Mus musculus: one gene and its partner. The protein of the gene in region 1 purifies or fractionates together with the protein of each later gene. This does not show direct contact. Links are inferred from orthologs where the notes say so. Each region holds a gene or a part of one and is shown on either strand. Other genes may lie near its edges.

Evidence for each region.
Region 2: the proteins of Atxn2l (region 1) and Nufip2 purify together in Homo sapiens (affinity purification with mass spectrometry; 4 studies listed by BioGRID and IntAct, counting the BioPlex papers as one, with this or other methods). This does not show direct contact. The link is inferred for Mus musculus from reciprocal best matches to the Homo sapiens genes ATXN2L and NUFIP2.

The regions. Positions count from the first base shown.
Region 1 is NC_000073.6:126,500,638-126,504,937, reverse strand, and holds the start of Atxn2l (ataxin-2-like protein), read left to right. Parts: upstream 1-1,500; 5' UTR 1,501-1,745; coding exon 1,746-2,038; intron 2,039-2,338; exon of another isoform or gene 2,339-2,607; coding exon of another isoform or gene 2,608-2,642; exon of another isoform or gene 2,643-2,708; intron 2,709-2,837; exon of another isoform or gene 2,838-2,863; coding exon of another isoform or gene 2,864-2,985; intron 2,986-3,479; coding exon 3,480-3,516; intron 3,517-3,625; coding exon 3,626-3,682; intron 3,683-3,763; coding exon 3,764-3,835; intron 3,836-4,064; coding exon 4,065-4,215; intron 4,216-4,300. UniProt on the Homo sapiens protein: Involved in the regulation of stress granule and P-body formation.
Region 2 is NC_000077.6:77,684,846-77,688,938, forward strand, and holds the start of Nufip2 (nuclear fragile X mental retardation-interacting protein 2), read left to right. Parts: upstream 1-1,293; 5' UTR 1,294-1,382; coding exon 1,383-1,662; intron 1,663-1,710; exon of another isoform or gene 1,711-2,966; intron 2,967-3,441; exon of another isoform or gene 3,442-3,486; intron 3,487-4,093. UniProt on the Homo sapiens protein: Binds RNA.

The DNA.
Region 1 (4,300 bases):
CTCTACACCAACATACCTGCAAGGCAAACCACCCACACATACATTTTTATTTTGTACACTGCTACCAAATGACCTATTTATCTTTCCCCTGCTCCTATACTTTTTAGGAAGTGTATGCCGACTCTCACCTGACCCACTGGCCTCAGACTAAATATTTGAGGATGACTTTAAATTAATTCCATTTTTCCGCTTATGATGGGTTATTAATCTGAAGTGTAGATTTGGACTCATCTGTACTGCTATATTCAATTTCTTAGTGTCTACCCAATCCTAGATTTAATTTTTGGATTATGTTATCAATAAAGGGATTTTAGGTTAACATTCCATGACAAAGTCTGGCTGTGCTGATTTATGTCTGAATCATAGCACTCAGAAGGCAGACAGATCTCTGTGAGTTTTAAGACCACCATGGTATACACAAGGAGTTAAAAGCCAGCTACAGCTATAGAGTGAGGATTTCAGGCTCCAATCAAGCTCCATTTTTTCGTATGTCCTGTCAGATCCATTTCGTCTGTATAGAAATCCATTTTCCTGCCCTCTGTGTTTTACCAAGTACCTTTGCTCAAATTATATAAATCTTCCACTAGCTTGAGCTTTGAGTGGCTTAGTTACCCAAAGCATGGACTTTTCCATCAACTTTTCCTTTTGAAACAGGGTCTGCCCAGCTGACCTGATATTTATTATACAATGCAGGATAGCCTCAAACTTTTGATCCTCCTACCTTCCCTTCCTAGTACTGGAATTAAAGTTCTGAAGCACCATAGCTGCCCTAATTTTGAATGAGGGCTGCCTTAATAGGCAAGCACTATACCACGGTTTTCTAACCGTGTCTTGCTATGCAGCTGGATTCTGTAATATACTCTTAGTCAGTCTGGCTTTCAGACGGCTTGTATTGCTACTGTTCAGGGGGTCGCTCTCCCTGAAAGAATCACTGAATTTCAATTTAGAATTGGGCACATTTGTTGGGATGCACATATGCTCAGAATAGTCATTCTGACGCTCATTAATATTTTAAAGCAGTTAAGATGGAGAGCAGCACCTTTAAAAACCCACCTGCCTTAAGTTACCTGTACTAGGTTTTTCCAGTCCTAGGGATTTTTTTTTTTCTCTTGCTCCCGAGACTCCGCCCACCGGTCACCCAGTGGCGGAAGAACCTCACGCTACGACGTGACACCTCACACCACCGCGGAGACTTTCTGACGTTACGCTGGCGGCGTGGGAGGGGCGGGTCCGCCGGCACTTCCCCTTCCCGGCTTTGGCCCCGCCCACCCTCGTTGTGAAGCAACCGCGGCCGCCAGCATTTAAGGTGGCTCAGAACCTAGAGGTGCGCTAAGCGCCTGCGCGGCTCCTTTTCCGCCCCAGGGGCTAGGCCGGTCGGAGCCACGGCTCGAGCCTCTCCTCTGTTCCGGAACTAACCGCCTGGCGGCGCTCCCCGCGCCCCTCCCCCGCCGGCGCTTCCGCCCGCGCTCCTCCCTCTCCTTCTCCAGCGACGCGCACGCGCGCCAGGCCGGCTCGCGCCCTCTCGCTGTCCACCGGCCCGCGAGATCCCCCCTCCCCTTCCGCCTCGCGGCGCTTCCTCGCGCCGCCGTCTTCTCGATCCACCCCTGACACCGCGGGGCTCCCCCCGCCCGCCAACGGCGGGTCCCCTGCTTGGCGATCTCTTTCGCTTCCCGCGCTCTCCAGCAGGGGCCCGGCCCCAGGCCCTCTTTCCCTTCCCTCTTATTTCTCTTCCGGACGCTGCCATCATGTTGAAGCCTCAGCCGCCACAACAGACCTCCCAACCCCAGCAGCCGCCCCCCACGCAACAGGCCGTGGCTCGCCGGTCTCCCGGCGGGACCAGCCCTCCCAACGGCGGCCTCCCGGGACCGCTGACCGCCACCGCGGCTCCCCCGGGGCCTCCCGCAGCGGTCTCTCCGTGCCTGGGGCCTGCAGCCGCTGCCGGCAGCGGACTTCGCCGCGGAGCCGAAAGCATCTTAGCGGCGTCAGCGCCGCCGCAGCATCAAGAAAGGCCAGGGGCAGTGGCTATCGGCAGCGTCAGGTGAGGACGGGGCTTCCTGGCTAGGGAGAGCCCGGGAGGCAGCGCCCCGGCTTGGAGCTGTTGAGGGGGCTCTTGGGGGCCCAGGACCCCGTGAAGGAGGGGGTGGACCCTCGTGCCAACAGGTCGGAGAGAAAGCTCTCCGGGAGGTCTCCAGGAGCCTGGGGGCAGCGCTCGGCTCTCTGGGCCTAGTCACCTCTTGGGGGTCTGGGCCCTGAGGGGAGGCGGGGCGCATCCCGCCAGCTCCGTCGGCAAAGGGTGTTGGGGGGGTTGAGGAGGTGATGGGGTCCCTAGCTCCATTACCACGAAGGATCTCGCGGTCCCCGGCTTCAGCCAATGGGGAGTCAGCTGCATGAAGGGGTCCCCGACTGTAGCCAATGGGGGGGGGGCGCGCGGCCCACAGTTTGGCCAATGGGGAGGGAGGGACTTGGGAGCGGATTGTTCCCTCCTCTTCCCGGTGTAGCCAGTGAGAGGGGGACGGGGTGGGCGGGGGCGCGGAAGCAGCGGCTACTGGGAAGACTGCGGGCTGGGAAGCTCCTGCGCGCGCGCTCCCCGGGCGTACGTGCGCGCGGATGCTGTCTTATGACTCGGGCATTGGCTTGCCCCGGTAACACGTAGAGCAGAGGCGGAGGAGGGAGGGGTTATTTGGAGGGTTTAGGGGCGTTTGGTGTCGGTGAGTGGGGAGTGGGTGCCCTCGGTTTTTCTCGGTGTGTCAATGCGATAGAAAGAGGCACTGGACGCAGGCGCAGTGGCTTCTGTTCTAGAGCGGGTGGTGGAGCGCGATGGGCTGTAGTGCGCAGGCGCAGACCGGGCGAGGCATCCCGGTGGATGGTTTTTGCGGCTGCGCGGTCCCCCAGCCCAGCCAACGGCCCCCTCCTCGCCCTCCTCAACTGCCGGTTACATCAGCCGTCGAGGAGCTGTGTTACCTGGCGTTTGGGGATCCCTTCAGAGTGGGTAACAGGCTGAATGAAAATAATGAGGGCGAAAGGGTGGGGTGTGGAGAATATACTTCTCCTGGGATTTGGAATCCAAGGCTCCTGAAAGCTTTTTTTCCTTTGGGAGGTAATGTGTCTAAGCTCAGAGGTGCTGCGTTTGGGATGCCCGGGCTTTCGCCTTCACAGCTGAAGTGTGCTGTTGGTTTAATACTATAGCAGTGGTTTATCGGAAGAGTGAAGGACTGTCCCTTAGAGGAAGTCAGGTTGTATTGCACTGACTGTTAGGAACATTTGACAGCTATTGTTTATTGAATATTTTGTTGACTTTTTTAAAATCTTGAATTCGGAGAAAATGTTTTAGCAGTTAATGCCTACTTTCTTCTTTAATGTGAGAACTTGAAAAGTCTTGCTTGTTAATCAGTCTATAGCCTAAATCAGCAAGTTGACCTGGTACATTGGTCTAGGGTTCACTACTAATTAAAACTATTTCTCTCTTTCTTTTTTAATAGGGGACAGACCACCGGAAAGGGACCCCCACAGTCACCCGTGAGTGCCTTCTTTTCCTCCTGTAAAGACACTCGGAAGACAGACAGTGTGGGACAATCTGAGAAGAGAGTATTCACCTGCTGCCCTTTACTTTTTTCTCGTGTGACAGGTGTTTGAAGGTGTCTATAACAATTCCAGGATGCTGCATTTCCTGACAGCTGTAGTGGTAAGTAACAGCTTTAACCTGGGTGTCTGAGGAATATGCTGTTTCAGTTTCTTAAAATGACTAAATGGTTCACCTTGCTAGGGTTCTACTTGTGACGTAAAGGTGAAAAATGGCACCACTTACGAGGGCATTTTCAAGACTCTGAGCTCAAAGGTCAGTGTACTCAAATTAGGAATTTCTGAAGCTGTGAAGGAGAGTGAGATTGAGAGTGTGTGTTGGGTGACAGCGGGCAGTTTTGAGGCTTTTGCTAAGTTCTCTGGTTGACATTGGGAAATACAGAGTGACATGGGCATTTGACGTTGAAAGACTAGAAAGCTTTAAGAGCGAATCCATCTTCTCCCTCTGATACTGACCCTGCCATGTTGGACTGGGGCTTTTGTAGTTTGAACTGGCAGTTGACGCGGTGCATCGGAAAGCATCTGAGCCAGCAGGTGGGCCTCGCCGGGAAGACATTGTGGACACCATGGTGTTTAAACCAAGCGACGTTCTGCTTGTCCACTTCCGAAATGTTGACTTCAATTATGCTACTAAAGGTATCGCTCTGAACTGTTGTGTCAAGAAGCTGACGAGAGCTAGCCCGCAGGTTGAACACGTTGACTTGATTTACTTTTCAGTAGA
Region 2 (4,093 bases), on another chromosome or scaffold:
AGCCAGGGCTGTACCAAAAAAAAAAAAAATCCCTTATAATACATAGACAAATGTATATCTAATTTAATGAATTTTAAAGCAATTATTCATGTAATAGCAATAGCACATTGGCTGGGGTATGCTGGTGTGTGTAGGACTTTAATCCCAGCATTCATGAGGCAGAAACAGGGGGAATCTCTTAGTTGGCCAGACACTTCTACTTAGGTAGTTCCAAGCCAATCAGGTTTACATAGTCTGTTTCAAAAACAAACCAGTCCAAAACAAACAAAACTCCTAGCCAAGTCCCCCAAATATATATTTCGAGGGTACCCCGTGTCTGTGCTTATCACAACCTTCTTCCTATCATAACAGGTTAAATTAACAGCATAAATTGCAAATACACCTTTACATTTCAATGTTTTCCTTAAATTTAATACAAAAATGTTTTAAAAACCCAAACCTTAAGAACTTTTAAAGGGTTCCTTTCTCCTTTATTTCACTTTTGAAAGTCTTAGTCTAAAATCTATTTTGGTTCCATAGTTGACCTCACCTGCAGTGTTTGATTAAAAAAACAACAAAAACACCCAAAAAACTTCAGTGTAGATTTTTTTCATTCCTCCCTCTCTCTTGCTTTCAACTACAAAGAAACAATGATTTAAGCCCTTTGTCCCCTTTTAGAAAATTACACAGATACCCTATTGTGGAACCCTATAATCCCTCCGTGGAAAGGAAGAGATTAGCATATGAATACAAAGCAAAATGAATCCAGAATACGAAAACGATCTATCGAGTTGTGAAGCTCTTGTATTCTTAAAAATGTATTTATTTCCTCTTTTTTGAATTGCCCCCTTCGTGGTTTAAGGGTTAAGGAAATTGAGCTTTCCTCTCTGGCTACCCGGAAAAGAATTAAACACACACACACACACACACACACACACACACTCACAACCCAACACATTCTAGGAGGTGCAAAACCAACAGATGGCTCCTAGCGCCAGTAGAATCGTCAGTGGAATCTGCTACACTCGACATCAGCTTGCTCGGTGTGAGGAGTGTAGAAAGTGCTGTTCGCTAACTGCGTGGTGAAGGAGAGAAAGCGATAGAAGAGAGAGCCATAATGCTGACGTTGAAGGCCCGGCCCTGTGAGGTTGCATAGGGTAAGTGGCGTTGGCCAGGCGGCGGTGGCGAAGGGGAAGGGAAGAGGATTTGAGCTAGGGGCGGGGCTTGACGCGCAGCGTGGCTCCTCATTGCTGGAGCACGGCTGCCAATCTCGCAGATCCTCTCGCTTAACCAGTGCGCTGGCGAGACGCGCTCAGATATACCGAGCGAGCGCGGAGAAGCAGTCTCAGATCCTGACGGTGCAGCAGCCCGCAGCCTCAGCCAGGGAGTCCCAGCCGCTTTCAATGGAGGAGAAGCCCGGCCAGCCACAGCCTCAGCACCATCACAGCCACCACCATCCGCACCATCATCCCCAGCAGCAGCAGCAGCAGCAGTCGCACCACCACCACCATTATTATTTCTACAACCACAGCCACAACCACCACCACCACCACCATCACCAGCAGCCTCACCAATACCTGCAGCATGGAGCCGAGGGCAGCCCCAAGGCCCAGCCCAAGCCGCTGAAACATGAGCAGAAACACACCCTCCAGCAGCACCAGGAAACGCCGAAGAAGAAAACAGGTCTGAGAGGGAGGGCGGTGGGGGAAGGGGGACTGGATTGGAGGGGGGGGAAGCGATGGGGGTGGGGCTAGATGGGAAAAGCGCGGACCCGGTCCGGGTGTGCGTCCCGCCGGGCCGGGGATGCCCCCTTCCATTCTTCCCGGGCGCGGGCCGGGCCGCGAGGTGGGGATTGCAGCGCCCTCTCCTTCCCTTTAGCATGGGAGAGGCCCAGCCAGGCCGGCGTGACCTTCCTCGGTCCCCGCCCCGGCCGGCCGGAGGCAGAGCTGTGCCCTCGGCCTTGGAAGTCCAGCCTTCATCTTCTTTTTCCCCTCTAGTGCGGGCCCTGGAGTTGCCTGAATGTGGGGGCCCCTAAGAAGGGGGTGAAACTCAGCCGCCCTAAAAAAATAAAATAAAAAATTCCCCCGAGGTGTATGTAATTCAGGCCTAGTGAATCCATCCTGATGCGGGTGGTGTCGCGAGAGCCGCTTGCAGGCGGCGACGAGCGGGGCTGAGGGCTAAGTTGAGGAAGCGTCCTCGCTCACCCGCCGCCCCGAGCCCACCTGTGGCCTTGGGGTTTGCCGTCTGGGTGTGTGGGGGACCCTATCGTCCCTCGGGTCATTTCCACCCCTAAACGCCCGTCTTGCGCGTCCGGACCCCGTTGTCTGTCCGCGAGGGCTTCTCCGCAGGCCGGCGCCCCTGGCCCGCTCGCCTCGGAGCCGGCGAGGCTGGAATGTTCTCTCCTCCTCGCGGGGCCGCTTCCTGTCCGCCATGTTGGAAGCTGATTCCTGTCACCGACTCCGGCCGGCGGAGGAGCGGAGGGGGAAGGGTGCCGAAGGCCACACGGCACGCCGGCCCGGCTGCCCCGGGACCCTCTGCGGCCCTTTTCCGGGTCCCCCCCGCACTGCGGGCGGCCGCCGCCCGCCGCCCCTCCCCCTCCGCGCCGCGCCGCGCCGGGGTTGTGTAACCCGGTGGCGGCCGCGCGGCCCCGGGCGGGTCCCTGGGGTGAGGGGCGGGGGCGGTTGGGGTGGGGGAGGGAAGCGGCCACGAGGGGAGCGGCCTGCACCGTGGCCCCGCGCGCCCGACGGCCGCGTTTCCCGCTCCCGGGTGCGGCGGGAGGCGCGGGCGGGGAGCGGGCCTTGAAGAGGAGCTTGAAGGGGGAAGGAGGCCCGGGCGGCGGCCGTGGCCGTAGCGTTCCGCTGGCCTGCGAGGGGCGAGGGGGATTCGTTTTGGGGAGAGGCGGTGCCTGAGGCCGGGTGGGGTACCCAGCGGGAACCAAGCTCCCGGGTCACGAGTTTCTCTGCCACAGGAATCTCATCTCCTGCCAGGTTCGCTCACGACTCCGCCTCGGAGGCTTTTTCACTTAGGCCTTTTTTCTTTATAGCAGCGCATTTCCTACCCAAAAAAAAAAAAAAAAAATGGGGGGGGGTTGGGGAACAACCTCTCAAACTTTGTTCCATTCGTTTTCCACCGAACACCTAAACTTCTGAGCTGGGTAGTGACTTTGTGGGAGGGATTAATCCGATGCTCTAATGGGTGGGACAACACGGGCAGTTTTGGCTTTCCTGTTTCTTTAACTATGAACTGGAAGTGACTTGTCCATGTGGTTGTCACCAGCCCTTTACCTTGGACAAGACCTTTTTGGTGGTTAAGAGGCGTTTTGGTGCATTTTAAAACCGACTTCCATCCCCTAACTGAGTATTATTTAACATTAAATGTGGAGCCTTGAGCTACTTAAAATAAGCATCAAAGTTTATATATTCACACGTTTTGTTTTGTTTTGTTTTGTTTTTAACTGAAAAGGGAATGAAGAAAGAAGTGTTAAACTTAGTCTTTCAAGTAATACAAGTAAGTTACTGGTGAAAAACTTACTGTAGACAATATAACTTTGAAGGCAGAGCTGAGTGGATATCAGATTTTCTTTTGTAGGGTAGTAGGGACTGATGATAGAGCAGAAGTGTTTAATTGTAAGGATTTACAGCAGCCTAGAAACTTAGGAATTATGTAACTGTATTAGTTTTGCTTTTCATGAGGTGAGAAAGTATCAAGGTTGCCCAGTGGTATTGTTCACAGATTCAGAATTTGTCTTTTATGAGGTTTATGTATTCCCCACAGGGCTCCTCACTGCATAGAAAGGCAGACCCTGAACCATTCATTGAAGGTGGCCCTCCTCACAATGTGTCTTAACCTGGGATGAAGAATGAGGAGGGAACTGGGTTTAGGAAATTTAGAGGTTATTAACAGTTGGGCTCAGCGGCTTTCCCGTATGTGGTTTGGTCGTTGGGTACTGTGCTAAAAAATCTAGAAAATGCTAGGGAAATACTTAACAAGTTTTTATGAACCATTACTTCCAAAGCTATGAGAAACTGGTTTTCTGGATCCAGAAGAGGGCACAGGAGACAAAACATGTTGAGTAATTGCAGTGTCAAATCTAAAAGCTAGATTTATTTGGGAC